Linked DNA regions of Sus scrofa. The protein of the gene in region 4 binds, or shares a complex with, the protein of the main gene of each other region. Links are inferred from orthologs where the notes say so. Each region holds a gene or a part of one and is shown on either strand. Other genes may lie near its edges.

The links.
Region 1: DHX16 (region 4) and CWC27 share a complex: the UniProt entries of both Homo sapiens proteins name them as parts of the minor spliceosome. The link is inferred for Sus scrofa from reciprocal best matches to the Homo sapiens genes DHX16 and CWC27.
Region 2: DHX16 (region 4) and RBMX2 share a complex: the UniProt entries of both Homo sapiens proteins name them as parts of the minor spliceosome. The link is inferred for Sus scrofa from reciprocal best matches to the Homo sapiens genes DHX16 and RBMX2.
Region 3: DHX16 (region 4) and CWC15 share a complex: the UniProt entries of both Homo sapiens proteins name them as parts of the minor spliceosome. The link is inferred for Sus scrofa from reciprocal best matches to the Homo sapiens genes DHX16 and CWC15.
Region 5: DHX16 (region 4) and BUD13 share a complex: the UniProt entries of both Homo sapiens proteins name them as parts of the minor spliceosome. The link is inferred for Sus scrofa from reciprocal best matches to the Homo sapiens genes DHX16 and BUD13.

The regions. Positions count from the first base shown.
Region 1 is NC_010458.4:43,363,220-43,367,685, forward strand, and holds part of CWC27 (peptidyl-prolyl cis-trans isomerase CWC27 homolog), read left to right. Parts: intron 1-205; coding exon 206-318; intron 319-3,026; coding exon 3,027-3,170; intron 3,171-4,466. UniProt on the Homo sapiens protein: As part of the spliceosome, plays a role in pre-mRNA splicing. Probable inactive PPIase with no peptidyl-prolyl cis-trans isomerase activity. As a component of the minor spliceosome, involved in the splicing of U12-type introns in pre-mRNAs.
Region 2 is NC_010461.5:106,878,825-106,884,041, forward strand, and holds the start of RBMX2 (RNA binding motif protein, X-linked 2), read left to right. Parts: upstream 1-2,087; 5' UTR 2,088-2,122; coding exon 2,123-2,127; intron 2,128-2,321; coding exon 2,322-2,437; intron 2,438-5,217. UniProt on the Homo sapiens protein: Involved in pre-mRNA splicing as component of the activated spliceosome. As a component of the minor spliceosome, involved in the splicing of U12-type introns in pre-mRNAs.
Region 3 is NC_010451.4:27,044,172-27,049,131, reverse strand, and holds the start of CWC15 (spliceosome-associated protein CWC15 homolog), read left to right. Parts: upstream 1-1,851; 5' UTR 1,852-1,995; intron 1,996-2,026; exon of another isoform or gene 2,027-2,274; intron 2,275-3,236; 5' UTR 3,237-3,244; coding exon 3,245-3,375; intron 3,376-3,969; coding exon 3,970-4,082; intron 4,083-4,960. UniProt on the Homo sapiens protein: Involved in pre-mRNA splicing as component of the spliceosome. Component of the PRP19-CDC5L complex that forms an integral part of the spliceosome and is required for activating pre-mRNA splicing.
Region 4 is NC_010449.5:23,193,724-23,198,189, reverse strand, and holds part of DHX16 (putative pre-mRNA-splicing factor ATP-dependent RNA helicase DHX16), read left to right. Parts: intron 1-1,768; coding exon 1,769-1,979; intron 1,980-2,145; coding exon 2,146-2,244; intron 2,245-2,353; coding exon 2,354-2,506; intron 2,507-4,204; coding exon 4,205-4,345; intron 4,346-4,466. UniProt on the Homo sapiens protein: Required for pre-mRNA splicing as a component of the spliceosome. Contributes to pre-mRNA splicing after spliceosome formation and prior to the first transesterification reaction.
Region 5 is NC_010451.4:44,147,946-44,152,411, reverse strand, and holds part of BUD13 (BUD13 homolog), read left to right. Parts: intron 1-970; coding exon 971-1,741; intron 1,742-4,040; coding exon 4,041-4,345; intron 4,346-4,466. UniProt on the Homo sapiens protein: Involved in pre-mRNA splicing as component of the activated spliceosome. As a component of the minor spliceosome, involved in the splicing of U12-type introns in pre-mRNAs.

The DNA.
Region 1 (4,466 bases), on a different chromosome or scaffold from region 4:
CCCATTTTTCAATTGGGTTCATGTTTATTTTGTTGTTGTTGTTGAGTTGCAAGGAGATATTTTATAATAAGGGAAGAAAAAAATTTTGGTTTAGAAGCCTATTTAACATTCTGGGGGAAAAATCTTGTGACTAGTTATATTAACTCTGATAACTTCAGTTACACCTAGTTTCAGACATTGATTAATTCTTTTAATTTTTTTCCAGCATATTATGACAATACCATATTTCATAGAGTTGTACCTGGTTTTATAGTCCAAGGGGGAGATCCTACTGGCACAGGGACTGGTGGAGAGTCTATTTATGGGGCTCCATTCAAGGTGAGAGTGAATTTTTATTATTATTTATTTTTAAGTCAGCCTGGGTTGCTTAATTGAAAATGATTATGCCACACAAGAAGAAAATGCATTTCATGTTCGTGCACAAAATCAATTTTATCACATATTTAAGATTATATAGTATAAGAGGGGGACTTACCCCATCAAGCATTCTTTCTAAGTTTTCTTATCACAACCTTTTACCCTAGATTAAATTCAGGTGGAGTTAAAGGTGGTAGCGAATAAAATATGTCAGACAAAAGACCATATAACATATTTCCTGATATTTGACTGTATCTGATCTCTGTAGCTCTGTATATATATATTTTTTAGAACATTGCACATGCCATCCTTTTTTTATTTTTATTTTTTTGGTTCTTAAGGCCACACCTGCAGCATATGGAGGTTCCCAGGCTAGAGGTCACATTGGAGCTGTGGCCGCAGGCCTACGCTATTGCCATAGCAATTCCAGATCCAAGCTGCACCTGCAACCTACACCACAGCTCACAGCAACACTGGATCCTTAACCTACTGAGCGAGGTCAGGGATTGAACCCTCATCCTCATGGATACTAGTTGGATTCATTTCCACTGTACCATGATGGGAACTGCCATGCCATACTATTTTAAAACATTTTATTTAACACCATATTATCTGCTTGAAATGCTATAACAGAGTACCTCTGACTGGGTGGCTTAACCAATAGGAATTTATTTCTCACAGTTCTGGAGGCTTGGGAGGTCCAAGATCAAGGTGCTGGCATTCAGTTCCTGTGAAGATTCTCTTCTTGGCTTGCAAATGGCTGCCTTGCTGTGTCTCAAACGGTGAAGGGAGAGATTTCTGCTGACTCTTCCTCTTCCTATAAGGGCAGCAGCCCTAATGGATTAGGACTTCACCCTTAGGAAGTCACTTAACCTTTTTCATCTCCTTACAGGCTCTATCGCCAGTTCAGTCATATTGGGAGTTAGAGCTTCAACATAGGAATTTTGTGGGGGACACAATTTAGACCATAGCTGAATTCATTCTAAATTGTACATGGTACATCTTTGTAGCACAACATTTCTTTCATAGCAAGAGATCACAAGGAAAACAGAAGGAAGAAACAACATAGAAAATATTAGAAAAGAGTGTGAGAGATAATCAAGAATAGGCCAGTGCTTTGTTAACTGCCAACATAGATCTAGAAAGAAAAAGAATTAATGTCATAGTTAAGATATTAAGATTAAGAGTGAGTTCAAGTAAAAGCTAAAGCTAGGTTATTTTTTAATCTGATGGCAGTGGTATTATCTGAATGAATAAACATCAGTACCTCATAAAATATGTGAAATTTTGAAAACTTCACATTGATACTAATGGGATAGAGTATCTGGAGTTTCCTTTAATTTTATACTGGGTTGCTTTATGACTCTTGAAAACTACTTGAACTGTTTGCTTTAATTTTCATATGATAGTGGCATGAAAAATATAGGAAATGCTTTTTTAAAAAAAGTCCTAAATGTTACTGTTAGAGTATTCTGTATTTTACAAAATTGAGATTTCTCATTATAGAGCCTCCATACAGTAGGAAACATTCTTTTATTTTGTTGTTTGGTGTGACAGAATAGCTCTTTGTGACAGTTCCTTTCTAAATTGATATTTTTTTGCTTGTTATGATTAGGTAATAAAGTTATCTTTGTAAATTTTTCAATAAGTTTATTTTTTTTGGTCTTTTGAGGGCCACGCCATGACATATGGAAGTTCCCAGGCTGGGGGTTGAATTGGAGCTGCAGCTGCTAGCCTAAGCCATAGCAATGCGGGATCTGAGCTGTGTCTCTGGTCTACACCACAGCTCAAGGCATCTCCGGATCCCACCGAGCAGGGCCAGGGGTTGAACCCACATCCTCATGAATACTAATTGGATTCGTTACTGCTTAGCCACAACGGGAACTCCCCAATAAGTTCCTTTTTAATAGAATGTACAAGAGTTAAGACCCTTTGAATTCAGATCTCTTGAGAAGAATTTATGAAGGAAAAGAACTTCTCTTCTGAAAAACATTGATTACATAACATGGCTGTATTAGACATGAGTCTAGTATGAGATCTTGATAGAAATGTTATTAACTAAGAGACTAATATGTAGCATTATAGCAAGAAAACCACCTTAGAATGACTTGCTTCTGCTGTTTTGTAAACTGACAAATGGAAACCTGTGCCAATTCAAAGATTCAACTTAGAATTTTCAAACACAGTAAAATGCGTAACACAACCATGCTGGATTCCTTGAGTGAGAAAAGTAAGAAAACAATTGTTTCATGACATTTAGATCAAGGTTAGGAAGGGAATAGTTGAAGACTCTGCAGTGACTCAAAACTAGTTATTCTGGAGAGAAATAGAAGGTTCTGAAAGCTTAGATGACTTTGAGGGATGGCAGAATAGGGGAGTGAGTCTTAGTAATCCATTCCCTTTCAGTAAAGAGGAAGCTTTCTTCAAAATAGGCTAAATTTGTGGCTGAGTATATTTAGAAGATACTTACAAGCTAGTGAAGTCAAGTTTGATAGAACTGAAGGAACTGTAGATATTAGATTTTGTTATATATGAAAATCAGTTAACTTAAACATTTGTGATTAAAAGTTGTATGGGACTTTGCTTGTTAGCTGAATATGAAGGGTCTTATAACCAAGATCATTCACTAAATCTTTTTTTGTTCTTTTTTTTTTTTTTAAATGCTTCAGGATGAATTCCACTCACGGTTGCGTTTTAATCGGAGAGGACTGGTTGCCATGGCAAATGCTGGTCCTCATGATAACGGCAGCCAGTTTTTCTTTACATTGGGTCGAGCAGATGAACTTAACAATAAGCATACCATCTTTGGAAAGGTTTGTGTCCAGTTATCTCAGGCTTCTATGATATATATGATCAACTTATCTAAAGTTGCCTTCATAAATATATTCCCTGAGATATTTATTTATTATTTCTAAAAATGATGGAATGCTATGTATTTCTGTTGTGTGTTTTAAGTCATTCGTTTTAACTTTGAATTTTTCTTTTTTTCTAAAATCATATTAATGGTATTATGAGCTCCTATGTCACTCATCTGATACTATTTTTACATTTTTAGAAACACACCTAGGTAATAACATTTAGTAGTTAAAGTTTTATTTTGTTAATGATGGATTCCCAGTGGAGGTTATGTTAACTTTAAAAGTTTTTACCTGGACTATTACTTTGAATAGTACCCTATTTAGTCCTTTTCACATTTAACATCATATCAGAGAATGTCATTTCCATAGAATTTTCAGTAGCTTTCTTTAAGAGGGATTCTGAAGATTTTATTTTCCTCCTTCTTCATAAATATATTCCCACATGTTTAAGTCGCAGGCATGCAGACATCATTAGTGTATTGGCTCCCTCTACTGGTTCAATAAAAATGGTTTCACTTTGTCCTAGGCAGCTGGATTTTATGATGGAAAAGGGAAAAAAACAAACTTAGCACAACTGGAAAAACTGATATTATTTTAGAACTTTTGAGAAATGTTAAAGGAGTCATGCCACAAACATTTAATACAATCCTGTTGCATAATACTTAACAACATGAATAAAGAAATATATACTAGCACGTGTAAGTGACTCCAACACAGGTTGTCTGATGTTCACAGATTTTCCTTTTATTTAAAAAAATAAATATATAATAAAATGAGATTAGATTGCATTCTGCACCATTGTTTACAGCTGATGTTACATAATTCACACATTAGAGACAAAGTATAGCATGGTGGTTAGAAGTCAGAAAGGCCGTCACTGTAAACTCTATAACTTCTTTGAACCTCAAGTTTCTTAGCTGGAGAAGGAAGATAATGATAGTACCTACTTTTAGAATGTTCATGAGGGTTAAATGAGATATAATTTCTGCAAAGCATTTACCACATTGTTATTGTTACTTGCTTCTACCCTATTTTAGAGTCTAAATTTGTTTATATAATGTTTGAACAAAAAGTAGTCATTCGCAAGAAGGTTATTTGGCATTATATTTTTAATAAAAGCTAACATTAAGTAAATGTTGGAAATTGCCCAAAAATCTTATTGAGGGATTAAAATTCATCAATGCCCTTTTCCCCTTAAGATAATGTTGTTTTATTTATAGTTTAATGCATATATTCTCATATAACAATATG
Region 2 (5,217 bases), on a different chromosome or scaffold from region 4:
CAGAAGAGGTGTCTAGATTGGATAGTGAAGGGGGGCCTTGAGGGGATGGACAGCAGTAGAGCCTGGCTGAAGTTGAGGCTTCATGGTGGGGGCAGCGGGAGAAAAGACTGGAGAATAGGGGCTGGGGCAGTTAGAAGGGCACTGAAAGAGCTAGGAGGCATGTGACAGTGACTCAGTATAGCACTTCAGGTAGACGAGATGTATTTTATAGATACCACAGCAGCACAATTATCAGGAATTGGTGACTGGATAGATATCTTTGGGTGAGGAACTTGGAAGACTGAAGCATGACATCCCTGTTTTTGAAGCCAGGTAACCAGGAAAATGGTGATAACGTTGCCTGAAATAGGGAAGTCAGGAGGGAAAGCTGTTTTGGGATGTAGTGGTGGGGAGTGGAGAGATGAATTCGGCTAGACATATTCAGCCTTTCCATAAACGTGGGGACTGCCTTCAATTTCCTTAGCATTACCCATAGAACCTGGAAATGAGCTCTGCATACAATGAGTGGTAAATGAATGTTATTGGTGGAGAAAGGAATAGAAGCTGGGAGAGCTGAAATCTGTCCCAGTTTGCCTGGGACATCTCCATGGATAAACTTCCAATGGGTAAGAATTGCTAGGAACTCTGATGACCGAGGCCTAGGTATTGCTCCAATTCTCTCATTTCACAATAGCCTGAAGAATCCATCCAGATAATGCTGCATGCTAGTTTACCACTTTGCAGTGACTACTTCAACCCTACAACTAAGCAACCTAAGGTTTCTAGGAGCAGATAAAACCTGTATGCAATCTGTCACTGTTTAGTTTTCATTGCCAAGGTAATTCTACAAAGTTAATGAATAGCTGGGTTGGAAGTGGGGGAGGGGGACAGACACAAAAACTGTCATTGGTGGGCAGCCTGTTCTGCTTCTTGGGAAGACATTGGGTACATGGTGAACCATTGAGGGTACAGTTGTCACTGTCACCATCATCAAAGTGCTTTTAATTTCTGGGGCTGTGAGCTAGGCCTACACAGAGAACTATACAGCCCCATAATTTGACTTTGACATAATTTGCATGGTCTAAGGCCAGAATTGATGTGGACACATGCAAGATGGATTTGAATCTTCAGAATGGCTTAATTCACACATTACATGCCATCATCTCTTCTACAGGTTCCTGATTATTTCTGGAGTCAAATCTATCAAGCCCTGTCTCCTCAATGATATTATTAGCTCTTTGAAGGCAGAGAACCCAACCTTACATTCCCATCTGCAGACTTACTGTATAGGACAAATACAGATGCTCAGTAAGGACCGATAAATCAAGTGGATCTGATGGATAGAGACAGAGTACCATCCAAGTTATTTAACTCCTTTAAACTCAGTTTCTGCTACGAAACGGGGAGGATAATTGTATCTAAGCCTTCACAGGAGGGCCAATACATGTAAATTGCTTAGCACACAATCTATCATTACCTGCTCAACTGTTAGTTATTAATTTAACAATACCAATTCCTACCTCCTGCTTGAGTAGCAGACAGACTATGGAAAACGGTTAGCAGCATTCACACAAATCTGGGTATTCAATTCAGCCTATGGAGGCACAGTGGTCAGTTGCCTATGCGGTGCGATTTGAGACAAAAAGATTTACCCTCTCACACAGCTTTTTCACATTTCTGCTGTAACTCCTGAACAGGGATGCTTTCATGGCGGTGTGCGTGTGAGTAATTGGCTGGGAGTTAAGGACAGAATGAGGATTTGCACTGGAAGAGAAGGATGGGACTCAAGTCGCCGTTATCAGGCACCTCTCAAAGTCTTCCTTCAAAAAACATTTATAGTTAACCCAATAAATGCCAGGCATCGTTTAGGAGTTCGGAGTCCTGTAACAAACCAGGCTCGCACCCTCGTCCAACTCCAAGCACGGTGGAAGCGAGGGTCTACAGAAAAAGAGCGACATCGGCGGAACAAGAGAAGCCGCTTACTGACGTAGTGCGCAGGCGCCACGCCCCAGCGCGGCCCGGCTCTTCCGGCGCGGCGTAAGCGCGCAGCTGAGACCAATGGGCGCGCAGCGCCGGGTCGCGCATGCGTCTTGCAGCCTCTCCCGGAAGTCGCTTCCTAGGTGCTGAGGGCGAACCCGCGGAGATGAAGTAAGGCCTCAGGTTCCTTTTGGGAAAAGGGGACAGGCGGCCGGGGGTAGTTCACTGAAGCTGGAGTGGTAGAGCACTTGTGAGGCTGAGGAGCGGGGGAGGCGCAGATACTAGAAAATTAGTCTCCCAGTTTTGCTCTCCTTTACCTCAGGCTAGGCCGCGCTTACTTGTCCGCTTTTCCGCCCCTTGTGCAGCCCTTTAACTAAAGTGAAGCTGATCAACGAGCTGAATGAGCGTGAGGTCCAGCTGGGGGTGGCGGAGAAGGTGTCTTGGCACTCCGAGTACAAGGACAGCGCCTGGATCTTCCTAGGTGAGGCCCACATCTTTCTCCCGCAGGGCTTCTCATTCTCTCCTGGCCTGCCTCCTAACATTTCAGCATTCCCGCCCATCATTCCTCCCGACATTCATCACCCACTTTTATTTACTTCCACTGTCGGCCTATAAATCCGTTTTCCAGGTCGCTTTTCTAGCTCATTTCTAGTTTGCTCTCGCTGCCAAATCAGCGTTCATGATAGGTACTGCCTGCCATTCAGTGTGCTAAGAATCGTGCCGTTTGGTTTCTCAGAGACTGTTATTATCATCCTCTTGTCCTCTAGTTATACACCTAAGGAAACTGAGATGCAGAAAAGTTAATGGACTTCCTTCAGGTCGCATAGCTAGCAAGTGGAACAGCAAGAACTGTGGGGTTTGAGAACTCCTGGTATCAGCCACTATCCGGTATTACTGCCAACTCCCTCTCCCTTCATTACCCTTCACGCAGAATTTATTTCCCCGTCCATGGCCACATCATCATTTCCATATTCACTGTGTCACATTCTGTAATTTGACAGTTTATTCGAAGAGATTATTACAACAGACATTGTGCTAGGCACTTTATAGCCATTGTTTTATTTTCATTCTTATTACAATTCTGTGAGGTAAGTGCCAATATCCCCATTTTACAGATGAAGAAGGAAACATTCGTAGGGGAATTTATTTCCTATGAAATCCTTAACAATTGTGAGGTGGGGTTAATATTTTTTTTTTCCCACTGTACAGCAAGGGGATCAGGTTATCCTTACATGTATACATTACAATTACATTTTTCCCCCACCCTTTCTTCTTTTGCAACATGAGTATCTAGACAAAGTTCTCAATGCTATTCAGCAGGATCTCCTTGTAAATCTATTCTAAGTTGTGTCTGATCAGCCCAAGCTCCCGATCCCTCCCACTCCCTCCCCCTCCCATCAGGCAGTCACAAGTCTCTTCTCCAAGTCCATGGTTTTCTTTTCTGAGGAGATGTTCATTTGTGCTGGATATTAGATTCCAGTTATGAGTGATATCATATGGTATTTGTCTTTGTCTTTCTGGCTCATTTCACTCAGTATGAGATTCTCTAGTTCCATCCATGTTGCTGCAAATGGCGTTATGTCGTTCTTTTTTATGGCTGAGTAGTATTCCATTGTATTCCATAGTATTCCACATCTTCCAAATCCAATCATCTGTCGATGGACATTTGGGTTGTTTCCATGTCCTGGCTATTGTGAATAGTGCTGCAATGAACATGTGGGTGCACGTGTCTCTTTTAAGTAGAGTTTTGTCCGGATAGATGCCCAAGAGTGGGATTGCGGGGTCATATGGAAGGTCTGTGTATAGATTTCTAAGGTATCTCCAAACTGTTCTCCATAGTGGCTGTACCAGTTTACATTCCCACCAACAGTGCAGGAGGGTTCCCTTTTCTCCACAGCCCCTCCAGCACTTGTTCTTTGTGGATTTATTAATGATGGCCATTCTGACTGGTGTGAGGTGATATCTCATGGTAGTTTTGATTTGCATTTCTCTTATAATCAGCGATGTTGAGCATTTTTTCATGTGTTTGTTGGCCATCTGGATATCTTTGGAGAAATGTCTATTCAGGTCTTTTGCCCATTTTTCCATTGCTTGATTGGCTTTTTTGCTGTTGGGTTGTATAAGTTGTTTATATATTCTAGAGATTAAGCCCTTGTCGGTTGCATCATTTGAAACTATTTTCTCCCATTCTGAAAGTTGTCTTTTTGTTTTCTTTTGGGTTTCCTTTGCTGTGCAAAAGCTTTTCAGTTTGATTAGTTCCCATTGGTAAATTTTTGCTCTTATTTCTATTGCTTTGGGAGACTGACCTGAGAAAATATTCATGATGTTGATGTCAGAGAGTGTTTTGCCTATGTTTTCTTCTAGGAGTTTGATGGTGTCCTGTCTTACATTTAAGTCTTTCAGCCATTTGGAGTTTATTTTTGTGCATGGTGTGAGGGTGTGTTCTAGTTTCATTGCTTTGCATGCAGCTGTCCAGGTTTCCCAGCAATGCTTGCTGAATAGACTTTCTTTTCCCCATTTTATGTTCTTGCCTCCCTTGTCAAAGATTAATTGACCATAGGTGTCAGGGTTTATTTCCGGGTTCTCTATTCTGTTCCATTGGTCTGTCTGTCTGTTTTGATACCAGTAGCACACTGTTTTGATGACTGTGGCTTTGTAGTATTTCTTGAAGTCTGGGAGAGTTATGCCTCCTGCTTGGTTTTTGTTTCTCCAGGATTGCTTTGGCGATTCTGGGTCTTTTGTTGTTCCATATAAATGTTTGGATTGTTTGTTCTAGTTCTGTGAACAATGTCATGGGTAATTTGATAGGGATTGCATTGAATGTGTAGATTGCTTTGGGTAGTCTGGCCATTTTTACAATATTGATTTTCCCAATCCAGGAACATGGAATATCTTTCCATTTCTTTACATCTTCTTTGATTTCTTTGATTAAAGTTTTATAGTTCTCGGCATATAGGTCCTTTACCTCCTTGGTCAGGTGTATTCTGAGGTATTTGATTTTGTGAGGTACAATTTTAAAAGGTATCGTATTTTTGTATTCCTTTTCTAAAATTTCATTGCTGGTATACAGAAATGCAACTGACTTCTGAATGTTAATCTTATCTCCTGCTACTTTGCTGAATTGATTAATCAGTTCAAGTAGTTTTGGGGTTGAGTCCTTAGGGTTTTCTAGGTATAGTATCATGTCATCTGCATACAGTGACAGTTTGATCTCTTCTCTTCCTATATGGATGCCTTTTATTTCTTTTGTTTGTCTAATTG
Region 3 (4,960 bases), on a different chromosome or scaffold from region 4:
CATCGTGGCACAGCGGAAAGAAATCCAACTAGGAACCATGAGGTTGCGGGTTTGGTTCCTGGCCTTGCTCAGTGGGTTAAGGATCCGGCGTTGCTATGAGCTGTGGTGTAGGTTGAAGACAGGGCTCTGGCGTTGGCCGGCGGCAGCTGTAGCTCTGATTGGACCCCTAGCCTGGGAACCTCCATATGCCAAGGGTGCAGCCCTAAAAAGACAAAAGGTAAAAAAGAAAGAAAGAAAGAAAGAAAGAGAGAGAGAGAGAGAGAGAGAGAGAGAGAAAGAAAGAAAGAAAGAGAGAGAGAGAGAAAGAAAGAAAGAAAGAAAGAAAGAAAGAAAGAAAGAAAGAAAGAAAGAAAGAAAGAAAGAAAGAAAAGAAAGAAAGACAGACATTTGAAACTTGGAGCAGCAGATTAAGGATCTGGTGTAGTCACTGTAGCAGGTCACTGCTGTGGTGGGAATTCAATCCCTGGCCCAGGAACTTCCACTTGCAGTAAGAGCCGGCCAAAAAAAAGAAGGAAAAAAATTGGTTTTTAATGCAGATTTTTATGCAAGAGAGTGACACTACCTGACTCACTATTTTAAAAGATCACTCTCACTGCTAGATGCAAAACTGACTATAAGACAAAGGAGACAGTTACACTCCAGGCGGAAAATGATGGTGGCTTGGACTAGGGTAGTAGCAGTGGGAATGAAATTTAGGGTATATTTTGAAAGTAGAATTGGTAAGACTTGCAAATAAGTTGGATGAGACAAGTGAAGGAAAAGGAATCTAAGAGGAAACCCTGGGATTTGGGTTCAAGTAACTAGTATGATGGTAGGTAGTGTCCTTTACTGAGATGTCTAAGACTGGGGGAGTAATACCTTCCTAGAAAAATCAAGACTTGCATCTTGAAATTTACAGGGAAGGGAGTTTTTCTACCCTTTTGTTTTGTTCATTTTAGAGTTCAAAGAAAGAATTCTGAGGGGGGGAAAAAGCTTTTTTATGTTCAATTTTAATGAGCTCTTTACATTTGAAACTAAGCTAAGGGAGTTGGATTTTCATTTGTTTAAGTATCTATTGAGCCAAAGACTATGTGATTAGATATCACGATAACCACGTTAAACTGACCAAACAAGATCCCTGCTCCCACAGTGCTTTTGGAGGTGTAAGAAGGACAATTGGTGATTTTTTTCCCTTTCCTGTTCGTTGCCTTATTAAAACTTCACCTAACGCATGAGTAGCCATCTTATAATTGCATCTAGGGCTCCTGGCAGTTGGGCCCACCGTTCTAAACGTTCAATGTCGGTTAATGAATGAATCTCTAATAGTGACATCTCCCCTCCCGCTAGAACTTAGGCTTTAAAAAAAATTACAATTTTAACAGTCAATACGAATACAACCTTTGCTTTGAAGACTAACATTTTTTGCAGGAATGGTACCTTTATAAAGATCGTGGTTGCCCCCGTACATATTTGTTCTTTCTTCATATCCAATTAAAAGAAAATACTAGTCTTTCCGTAGCCCAACTCTCTAGGCTTGCTGGGTCTAGCTCAAAGATTAAGCAAGCAGGAGCCGTTGGATTTAAACCGTTTGGTATAATCCTTTTCTACGCTCTCTCTCCTTCTCTCTCGGTAGCCGGGGACGTGGTGTCGGCTACCCGGGGCTTTCCGTCCACGCAGTACCGGAATGAAGGCGTCTGGGAGGGGGTCGGGAAAGGAAAAGACGGGAGAGACATTAAGTAATTGGTTCTCGAAGGTATAAAATGATGTTTAGGGTCTACTCAAAGCACCGATTTCAAACGCCCGCCCCCTGGGCTGTTTAAGCCCCGCCTCTTGCTGTCGTCACGCCGACTTCTCCCTTGGCCTCTGCCGATTGGTCCCTGCCTCCGCCCCTGAAGAGGTTAGGGTTTGCTTCCGGGTCTTGGGCTTTGGCCCTGGGCGCAGGGGTTTCTGGGAGCCGAGAATCTAAGTGGTTTCTGAATGATCTCCGGAGGCTGGTGCGTTCGGACCTCGGCCAACGTGAGCTGCTGGGGGAAAGCAGACTGGGGGGGGGGGGGGGGAGGACAGTTGGGGGCGGACGCGGAGAACCGACTGCAGGCAGAGGAGTTTTCCGGAGCGGCAGCGGGTTGCGGAGCCCAGCGCCTGTTGGACTGGGGACGGCCAGTCCCGGGCCGGCCGCGGAGAGCGTAGCGTGAAGGTAGCTCTACAGGCTGCGTTAAGCGGGTCTGGGCGCCCCCAGCCCCTCGCCAAATCTGGCACGGGTGAAGAATCGCCGGGCTTTCCGATGACAACCCGAAGGTGAACTCCCCAGAACCCAGAGTGTAAATAACGATGGTGTGTGGGAGGCGGCGGCGCCCCCAGCGGCCCGGAACCCAGTTTCACCCCCACTGGATATATTCCTCTCCCTTTTTTGAAAATCTAGAGAAGTATGCCAGCTGCCCCAGACACTTGCTTTTCCGACGCTTGAGGGAGGTTTTAGTAGCCACATCGGCTGTGCAGTGTTTTTTAGTTGCTTAAAAGCAGAAGTAACATAAGGAAGGAGTCCCTGATTTGTAGTTACCAGAGTCCCGTGGGGGTGGGTTCCTGTGTTTTGAGCATCCCTTAAATTGTAACTTGCAAAAGTTATGATTTATATTATATTGGCTGCTGTAGGATAAAATTGAAACAACAAAAGATTGTTGGGGAGCTTTGCCAATGTAACTGTCGTCGAAGTTGAGCACACTTCTTCAGGACCTTCAGTATCTGTCAATGATTTGTTTTTTTAGATATCTTCTCTGTTTTTGTAGCTGCTAGCCTCTTTTCTGCAGTGTGAGGTTTAGATAAAATGGGAACCTTAAGGAGTCTGGTGGAGTAAGGTTGAGTTGAGATTTTTTTAAAAACTGAGACACGGCAGTACTGTATTTTTGCAAGGGCTTTGACATGTCAAGTCTCTTAATTTCATGATAATCCCATGAGGAATAGTCCCCATTTTACAGATGACGGAAACTTAAGCTAGTTGGCTTGTCCAAGGCCACAGAGCCAGAAGGAGAACAGGAACACAGTCTCAGATCTTCATGACAGAACTTTTTGTACTAAATATCTGCATATTCCCGCTACACCCTGAGCTTCACTGTTTGTTTTCATGAGAACTTTTGAGATCATTTTAAATAAGTTTTGGGGAATAAGTTAGGGAAATTTTTTCCCAAGGATGGATATTGATTAATACTTTATAAAATGATAGTTTGTTATGTTGAAAGTAACTTGGCACTTTTTCTTCAAAGCATAAAAAATGACGACGGCAGCTAGGCCAACTTTTGAACCTGCAAGAGGTGGGAGAGGAAAAGGAGAAGGTGATTTGAGCCAACTCTCCAAGCAATATTCAAGTAGAGACCTACCCTCTCATACGAAGATAAAATATAGGTAATGAAGCCTTTTATTTTTTTTTTTGTTTCACAAAGGAAGACCAAATCTGTTAAATGGTATGGTCATAAGATAATAGTGTTTACGTTATTATCACTTAGTAATCTATTTTCATAGGAGTAGAATGCATTAGTGTTTATAACACTAAAATCATGCGCTATGATTGTAAAATGCTACAAGATATTCCTTAAGCAGAAATTGCAATTAACTGGGAATTTCCATAAGTAGATGGAGCAATAGCTGATACATTATCTCAGAGGGACGTGCACTATCAGCACTAATCAATATGAGATTAAGAGTATTATTGTAACAGAGCCCTGAGTTGACATAGTTACAAAAAGTAAGGACATTTTAATCAACCTGCACCCTTATTATGGGAAAGTATGTGATTTAGCTTGAGGTTCTTGAAATATCAGAGACATCACAGGAGCCTCTTAGTAACCCTCAGATTAGGATAGTGATCTTGTCCAGTTTCCCTAATGGGACTTTATGTTTCAGGAACTCAGGACAAAGTTGCTTTTCACAAGCTGTCTTCTATGACTACAGCCGTGTGTTTTTAAGAAGTATTTTTGCCCTGGTTTGTTTCTGCTTTAGACAGACCACTCAGGATGCCCCCGAAGAGGTTCGGAACCGCGACTTCAGGAGAGAGTTGGAAGAGAGAGAGAGAGCTGCTGCAAGAGAAAAAAATAGAGATAGGCCGACCCGAGGTACCAACACTCCCTAGACCCCTAGACTACCCTACACCCTGGACACGTCTCTCATGACATTGTGTTGACAGTAATTTTTCTTTCACGTGGTAATTAGAATGGATTACTGTTTTTGTTTGCTTGCTTTTAAATATTGGTGTGAACTTTAAGTTTCTTAAAAGACTGGATCAGATTAGGTTAGGATAGATTAGATTGGATTAGATTAGATTAGATTAGAGATGGTAATGAATTTGATTCCAGTTCCATCTTTTTATGTTTCTATATGGAAAGAACTAGGTGATCTGGGAATATTTAGCAACCATTGTTTCAGTTCGGATTAAGGTATTTTCACAGCCAGACTTTTTGAGGCCCCATTGTTTCTGTCTATGAAATTCTCCATGGAGTTAACTATTGTGGCTCGGCTGGTTCAAAACCCAGTGTCATGAGGATGCTGGTTCATCCCTAGCCTTGCTGAGTAGGTTAAGGATCCTGTGTAGGTCGCAGATGTGGCTCAGATCCCCTGTGTGGCTCAGATTCCCATTGCTGTGGCTGTGGTGTAGGCCAGCAGCTGTAGTTCCAATTCGATCGCTGGCCCTGGAACTTGCATATGCCAGAGGCATGGCCCTAAAAAAGGAAAAGAAAAGAAAAATTCTCCCATTTTTATTTCTAGCAAATGCAAACTATTTTCTGAATTTCCTGAGCAAGGCTACAGTTCCCATATTAAAATCAATACTTCTATTAATTTATTCAACACATATTTGCCAAGGGCTTATTTGCCAGGCACTGTGGTTATAATCCTTACTTTCATGCCTAAGACTTAAGCTCTTTGTGCCCACAGGCCCCTAAAATATCATAAGAAATGCAGGATTTGATTCAGTAAGCTAAATGATGTTTGTTTT
Region 4 (4,466 bases):
TTTTTTTGGCTGAGTCCATGGCATGTGGAAGTTTCTGGGCCAGCAGTTGAACCTACAGCACAGCAATGACCTGAGCCACAGCAGTGACAACACGAGATCCTTAACCCACTGAGCCATCAGGAAACTCCACCTGTTCTTAAATCTTTATGGTTCAAACTGTCCTAGCACTGAGATGGGACCGGAGGGCAGAGAGGCTGCCAGAGAGCCTTTCCCACCCTCCCCAACTGTTCTCAGAGTTCAGAAAACCACCAGGATGGTAGAGCGGTGTTGTGGGAGCTTGAGACTCCACGTGAGGACCACTTGCAGAAACTTAGAATGTTCAGCTTAGACGGGAAAACTCAGATGCTCTGGGTCCCTGTAAATGTGTGAAGGGCTGTTCCATGGGAAAGGGTCCATAGAGTGGCAGAGATTGCAGGGACTCTCGGAGTGGCCCAGCCCCAACCCTTGTGCCTCAGGCCCACGTCTGGAGTGGCTTGGTCTGTGAATAAGGAGTTCTCAGTGCTACCCTTGGCCAGGGTGGGGTTGGATGAGCATGTGTTGTGGGGGAGAAGCGATTCACAGATGGGGTGGGGTTGGGGTCAGGCCAGCAAAAGCACTATGTGCCTTTTTAGCTCTTAGGAGCCTGGGGATTTCTGGTCCTGGAGGATCCTGGTGGAGCAGGGGGACAGACATGATTTGGTCCTTCATATCCCTTGTAGAAACCTCTGAGAAGCCATGGAGGGCCCGCCGTGGCGAGAGTGTTCGGGGTGTGGGCTTTTCCCATCAAGCCAGGCTGCTTTGTGAAATGGCTGAGGACTTGACTGTCACTGTCGGGGTTAGACACGATGGTTGAGGTTGGGGGTGAGCTCCTGTGGCCTTGGCAGGAAATCCAAAGACTAGAGGCAAGGAGAAGGATGGTAGCCCATGCAGAGCTAAGTTACACAGAGACCAAGAAGCCTGCAGAGCCCTCTAAGGCTGGGGTGGGAGGGCTTACCTGGCCCCCCTCTCTCCAGAAAGAGGCAGCAGGGCCCACAGGGATGCACAGTAGCTGCCCCACAGGATCCTGGGAACTTGTGGGCTGCTCAGATCGTGGTGGCTCAGGTCTAAGTGTTCCTTCCCAGCCAGCCTGGGAGCCTAGCCTTATTCAAAGAGGCTTTGCCTTACTGTTTTTTCTCCTTTAAATTTCTAGATGCCTTTGGGAATTTCCGTTGTGGTGCAGTGGAAATGAATCTGACTAGTATCCATGAGGTTGCGGGTTTGATCCCTGGCCTCGCTCAGTGGGTCAGGGATATGGCGTTACTGTGAGCTATGGTGTAGGTCACAGATACAGCTCAGATCCTGCTTTTCTGTGGCTGTGGTGTAGGCCAGCAGCTGTAGCTCCAATTGGACCCCTAGCCTGGGAACTTCCACATCCCGTGGTTGTGGCCCTAAAAAACAAAAAGCAAATAAACCATAAAGACAGATAACTTTCTGTCTGCTGACTTTAAGAGACTCTTGAGTCTAATCCAGACCAGATGTCTGACTTGTCCTGGCCTTGGCTTCCAGCCTCCAGATCTTGGCGGCTGCTGTCTGCCCAGGCTGGGACACGGAGAAGACCACGGGGGCCTGGGCTTCTCTAACTTTCTGTTGGTCTGGCTTAAGTGGGATAATTGGCTTCTGCTTGGAGCCCCCTCCTCCCACATTTGCCCTGGCCCTTTGCTTCCATCTGTTCCTCTCGTCTGGGGACCCCAGTGTCACACCCGCGTTGCCCAGCGCCCCTCGCTCACTGCTGCCCCCGTTTCTTCCCCAGCGTGGTGATGGTGGATGAGGCCCATGAACGGACTCTGCACACAGACATTCTTTTTGGATTGATCAAGGATGTCGCTCGATTCCGACCTGAGCTCAAGGTCCTGGTGGCTTCAGCCACACTGGACACTGCCCGCTTTTCTACCTTTTTTGATGATGCCCCCGTCTTCCGAATCCCTGGACGCAGGTTTCCAGTTGACATCTTCTATACCAAGGTGCCCCTCGGGGAGAATGCGTCTACGCTTCAAGGCGGGTGGGGGGGTGGGGGGTGGGATGGGAACCCCAAGGGGACCTGGGATAAAGTGTTTCTTGAGCTGGGAGGAGGGGAAGAGCTTTGTCTCAGCAGGTGGCCTTCCTGTGACCCCGCCTCCTCCTCCCCAGGCCCCAGAGGCAGACTACCTGGAGGCCTGCGTGGTGTCGGTGCTACAGATCCATGTGACCCAGCCCCCTGGGGATATCCTGGTGTTCCTGACAGGACAGGTGTGTGACGTGGGGGAGGGGCTCGCTGTGTGTACCCACAGGGAGACCAGGCTGGCTGGTCGGCCTCCCGTGACTCTGGGACCCCTTGTATTCCCCACCCCAAATCCAGGAGGAGATCGAGGCTGCCTGCGAGATGCTCCAGGATCGCTGCCGCCGCCTGGGCTCCAAAATCCGGGAGCTCCTGGTGCTGCCCATTTATGCCAACCTGCCTTCCGACATGCAGGCTCGGATCTTCCAGCCCACGCCCCCCGGGGCCCGAAAGGTCAGTTGGAGAAAGCCGTGTTCTTCACCCCTCTGCCTCACGCAACTAGTAGTGGAAAGGGAAGTAGGTGCCTGCCCCGTGCAAGGCGTGTCCTGGGCTCTGCTGCCGCTGCGAGGCCCGGTGGCAGGCAGTCCTCTGCCGCAGGAGCTGGAGGGGGACTATGACTGAAACCGGGAGATGGCCGAATGCACGATCCGGAAAGCGAGCGTGGTGGGGTGCAGCGGAGCAAGGAGGCCCCTGGTGTGCGGGGAGCTGGGATTCCATCTGGACCTTTCGGGAAAGTGGCGAGGAACATCAGAGGAGGACCTCAGGTGTGTGTGAGGTCGGAGTGGTCTGGCAGGCTCATGGGAGGTTGACACGGGAAGCAGTGGGAGACAGGCTAAAAACAGCTCTGGACAGAGGGTAGAGAGGGCCTTTGATGGACTTTATACCAGTGAGTGGCCATCAGAGGATTTTGAGAAAAAAATGTAACTTTCATTCAACAAATATTTAAAGAATTTCTCCCACGTTCCAGGTGCTGTTCTAGGGGATGAGGAAACAGTGATGGACAAAGCAGAGTCGCTAGCCTCAGAGGGTTTAATCTAATGCAAGTTAGGAGACATGGACACTTAAATACCTAATGTCAATTTGTGACAAATGCTCTGGAGAGATTCACTGTGTCATGGGAAGCTGGAGGCTGGCTCTGGGGCAGTGGGGGAGGAATGGCAGGACGGTAATGCCCTTAGGGTGTAGGTCAGGCCTCTCCCTCTGATAAGGTGAGAGTTGAAGCCGGGCCTGAACCAGGTGAAGGGAGGGAGCCAGGCTGATATCTGGGAGAAGAGCGAGCCCAGCAGAGGGAAGAGAGCTTGTTCGGAGGACTGCGCTCAGCAGTGGGTGAGGTGGGGGGGAGCATGGAGCCCTGGTGCCAGAAGCTGAGATTGGAAGAGTAGCCAGGGCCTGGAAGGTTCCAGGCCTGAAGGGGCTTAGATGTGATTCTCAGGTGGGGAGGGAAGCCCCTGAAGGATGTGGGGATCGGCACAATAGGCTCATGTTTTGAAAGGACTGTTCCGGATGCCATGTAACCAGGGCTAGGAATAGAAGCAGAGACTCATGGGAGGCTGTTTTGGGAAGTAACGTGTGAAGGTGAAAATGAATGTGACAGTGGGGAAGGTGCAGCAGGACCCTGACACCCCCAGCCCCACCTCTGAAAAAACCCCGAACTCCCTTCCTGTCTTTTTGGAAACTTTTTTTTTTTTTTTTTTTTTTTGTCTTTTTAGAGCCGCACCTGCAGCATATGGAAATTCCCAGGCTGGGGGGTCTAATCAGAGCTGTAGCCGCCAGCTTATGCCAGAGCCACAGCAACGCGGGATCCGAGCTGCTTCTGCTTCTGCCAGAGCTCACAGCAACACCGGCTCCTTAACCCACTGAGCAAGGCCAGGGATTGAACCCGCAACCTCATGGTTCCTAGTTGGATTCGTTAACCACTGAGCCACGATGGGAACTCCATCTTTTTGGAAACTTTGCATGTTACACCCTGCTGATCCCCACATCTCCCTCACCCTCTGCTGGCCTTGTCCCCCTCTCCTCACTTTCGCCCAAAGCCCCTCAGCTCCTGCCCCTTATCTCTACGTGCTTCTCTGCTCTGCATCTTGGAGAATTACTTTTTCTGGGTAACTAGGCGGGTGGGGCTCCTGAATGACCCCACATCCTCTTGCTCAGGTGGTCGTGGCAACGAACATTGCGGAGACCTCGCTCACCATTGAGGGCATCATTTACGTGCTGGATCCAGGGTTCTGTAAGCAGAAGAGCTACAACCCCCGCACGGGCATGGAATCGCTCACCGTCACACCCTGCAGTAAGGTGGGCCTGGGCTTGAGCCCACGGAACAGCCCAGCTCAAAGCGGTGGGGGCTTCTTAGAGTAGGGGGGGTCAGCGGCCCCCCCCCCACACCCCCCGATTTCTGCAGACACATTGTTCTTTC
Region 5 (4,466 bases), on a different chromosome or scaffold from region 4:
TGGACTTTTAAGTCTCAAACTCTTTCCTTTTTAAAGATTGCACATGGACTCTGGAGTTAAAACAGATCAGGATCTGAATATCCATTCTATCAGTTATTAGTAGTATGATTTTTGCAAATTACTCCATCTTTCTAAGTATCAACTTCATCTATAAAATTGGGATAACAATATTTATCTCCTAGGCTTATTATGAGAAGTAAATGGGATAACCTATATAAAACATGGGTGTGCAGTAGGTGATCAGTAAATGCTGATCCTTCTTTTTTGGGAGGCTATACCTGCAGCATGCAAAGGTTTCCTGGTCAGGGATTAGACCCGAGCCACAGCAGTGACAGTGCTGGATCCTTACCCTACTGAGCCACCGGGAGACTCCCTGATCCTTCTTACTTTCTGGTGTTCTCCCGCTTCTAATAAGGAGCACAATGGCATGGATTCAGTAGGTAACAGCATTTCACTTTGATGTGTCACAGATTTAGTCAATTTGCCTCTTGAAAGAAGAGTGGGTACACACTATGAATTATCTAGGCTAAATATCAATAAGAGCCTCTAGTGGGGAGCTCTGTACAAATCAGTTTTGTGGAAGAGCATTGGATTAAGAGTTAGAGGACTGGAGTTCAAGCCTATCTTTTCTCTTCGTAGCTGTGACCCCAGGTAAGAAATCACTTAGCCCCTTAGAGTCTCTGTTTTCAGGTCTGTTAAGCAAGGATAATTGCCTTGCTTACCTAACAAAATATAACATGAAAAATATTTAAAATGCTTTACAGACTGATGACTTGTTAGGCAAATATGAGAGATTATTCTTAGGATATTCATGAGTGCTGTCTTACTGCCCCAAGTAAGAGTTGTACAGACCTTTTGGGCTTTCTGAGTAGTTTTCAGATGTATCCTCCTGGGGCATCTTTTGAAACTATGGTTCCTGGGGGTGAACAGAGCATCTGTGGGATTCTGACTCTTTGCTCTTTGTGTTTAGGCCACAATGAAGATCTGCCCTCACACAGACATTTCCGTCGTGACACCCCAGATGCATCACCTCCTAGGAGGGCTCGTCATGACACCCCAGATTCATCACCTCCGGGGAAGGTCCGCCATGACACTCCAGATTCATCGCCTCCTAGAAGGGCTCGTCATGATTCCCCAGATCCATCACCTCCTAGGAAGGTCCACCATGACACACCAGATCCATCACCTCCTAGGAGAGCCCGTCATGACACACCAGATCCGTCACCTCCTAGGAGAGCCCGTCATGATACACCAGATCCATCACCTCCTAGGAGAGCCCGTCATGACACACCAGATCCATCACCTCCTAGGAGAGCCCGTCATGATACACCAGATCCATCACCTCCTAGGAGAGCCCGTCATGATACACCAGATCCATCACCTCCTAGGAGAGCCCACCGCAGTTCCTCAGATATCTCTCCTCCCAGAAGGGCCCGTAATCGCTCCCCTGACACAGTTCAACCTAGAAGGACTCTTGATTCCATGGACACATCGCAGCTGAGGAGGGCCCGTCATGATTCCCCTGACTTGGCTTCTAGTGTCCCTCATTCACTGCCCAGAACCAAAAGCAGTACAGCCCCAGAAAGAGCGTCTAGCCAAGCTTCTCCCCATTGGAAGGGGCCAGGACCATCTCATCCATCACTCCCAAAGAACAGCAAGCAGGAGTGTGATTCAGACCTCTCTCCTCCACGAAAAAAGCAAGCAAAATCCCATTCTGGAAATAAGCAACATGACTCTAAAGGTGAGCATTTGACTGTCCATAGGAAGGACTTAACTCCCTAGGCACTTTCTTTTGGGCCTTTTAGTTCCTTTTTAGGTATTTGTGATCTTTAGAAATGAGAATGGAGCATTGGAGAAGTTTTAAAAACTGGAGGGAGGAGTTCCTGTCGTGGCACAGTGGTTAACGAATCCAACTAGGAACCATGAGGTTGCGGGTTCGATCCCCGCCCTTGCTCAGTGGGTTAACGATCCAGCATTGCCGTGAGCTGTGGTGTAGGCCACAGACATGGCTCGGATCCCGAGTTGCTGTGGCTGTAGTATAGGCCAGCGGCTATAGCTCCAATTAGACCCCTAGTCTGGGAACCTCCATGTGCTGCGGAAGTGGCCCTAGAAAAGGCCAAGAGACAAAACAAACAAACAAAAAAAACCGAACAAAACTGGAGGGAAATCATGAGAGGTTGGGCTGAGGAGAGTTAAAAATTTATAGTAGCAGAGAGGAGGGTTTTATATATTCTTTTGTTTATTCTCCCCACCCCATATAAGAATACTGCATATTCATTGCAGAATGTATAGAAATGTATAAAGAAGTAGAAAAAGGTCATACAAAATTCTGTCATTCAGAGGCAGTCACTGCTAGTGTTGTAATCTGTGTTCTTTTAGTTTTTTTTGTTTTTTTTCTATTCATTTTTTATGTGGTCGAGGTCTGTCTAGGCAGTAAATACATATTGCATGTGTAATCTTGTCTGTTTTTTTTTTTTCCCTTAACATTATCTTCCTCATGTCATAAAATATCTCATTAATATAATTTTTGTTGGTATTCTGTTACATAAATTTACCATTTCCTTAATACTGCATATTTGAGGTTGTTTCTGCACCTTTTCTTCTATAATTCTATAATCAACATCCTTATGCATAAACTATTGCCCTGTTCTGGATTATTTCCTTAATAATACTTCTAGATTGATCTCCTGGAAATCAAAGTACTTCCAAATATGTTTCCTTAGAAATTAAGTAGAAATTGATTTACTGGGTCAGAGGGTCAGGGTCCTATGCTTTTAGGACTGTTGACACCTGTTGCAGATTGCTTTTTGGGGGAGGTGATTTGTAGTTTTTTGCTTTTGTTTTCTTTTCTTTCTTTTTTTTTTTTTTTTTTTTTTTTGTCTTTTTGCCATTTCTTGAGCCACTCCCGCAGCATATGGAGGTTCCCAGGCTAGGGGTCAAATCGGAGCTGTAGCCACTGGCCTATGCCAGAGCCACAACAATGCGGGATCCGAGCTGCGTCTGTGACCCACACCACAGCTCACGGCAACGCAGGATCCTTAACCCACTGAGCAAGGCCAGGGATCGAACCCGCAACCTCATGGTTCCTAGTTGGATTCATTAACCCCTGCGCCATGACGGGAACTCCTTGCTTTTGTTTTTTTAATGGCTGCACCCAAGACATGTGGAAGTTCCCAGGCCAGGGATTGAATCCAAGCCACAGCTGTGAACTACTCTGCAGCTGTGGCATGGCAACACTGAATCCTTTAACCCACTGTGTCAGGCCAGGGATTGAACTCGTGCCTCCACAGCAACCTGAGCTGTTGCAGTGGGATTCTTAACCTACTGCACCACTGCAGGAACTCTTTGGGGGTGATTTGTGATGTCTACAACTCAGGCCTGTGCAGTGAGATTTGTTTACTCTTTTGTCCCAAGGCACTGTTTTAATTTTATTTTTTTTGCTTTTTAGGGTCACATGTGTGGCATATGGAAGTTCCCAGGCAAGGGGTCGAATCGGAGCTGCAGCTACCAGCCTATGCCAGAGCCACAGCAACACCAGATCTAAGTCACATCTGCAACCTATACCACAGCTTACAGCAATGTCGGATCCTTAACCTACTGTGCGAGGCCAGGGATCAAACCCATGTCCTTATGGATACTAGTTGGGTTCATTACCACTGAGCCACAGTGGGAACTCCCCTGTTTTAATTTTTAAATTCAGATACATTGTTATCCTTTAGTCTGAGGACATCAGAATATATTCTAGGCCATTTTAACTTTTACCATGCTGCTGAGACCTGAGTGCAGTTTGTTTTGCTCACTCTGTGTGGATAAATATGGCACAGAGGAGTATGTTGAGATATTACATGCCAGTCACAGTCATTATAACTTGAGACTAGAATCCCACATCCTGCCTGTTGGTTTTAAAAGTTGTCTCTGATTTCGATTTTCTCTCCCATGTCATTTGTACTTGTATTTAGGTTAGTGATCGTTTGTCACAGGAGGACTAAATGAATGCTGAACATTAGCCTGACTTAAAGCCTATATTCTTTAATTTTTAGGCTCTTCCCCCAGACATAGGAAATGTCATACAGGCTCATCACCCAGGAAGCATCACAGTCACATGTTGGACTCTTCTTCCTACCCAAGTGACCATAGGAGAGCCTCTGATTCAGATCTTTCTCCTCCTCGACATAAACAAAGTTCAGGGCCCCGGGATTCGGATTCCGATCTGTCACCCCCACGGAATAGACCTCGGCACCAGAGCTCTGATTCTGACCTCTCCCCACCAAGGAGGAAACAGCGGGCCCGATCTTCTGATTCTGATCTGTCTCCACCTCGAAGGAGTCAGCCTCTGGGAAAGAAGGTAGGAATTTTCAGGAGCCGTATCTTAGGTAACTCCTGTCTTCCACCTTTGCAAGTCCTAGAGATCTCAAGCCAGAGGAGGACGAGGTAGCTCTCCAAAGCATAGTAAATCAGTTCACAGG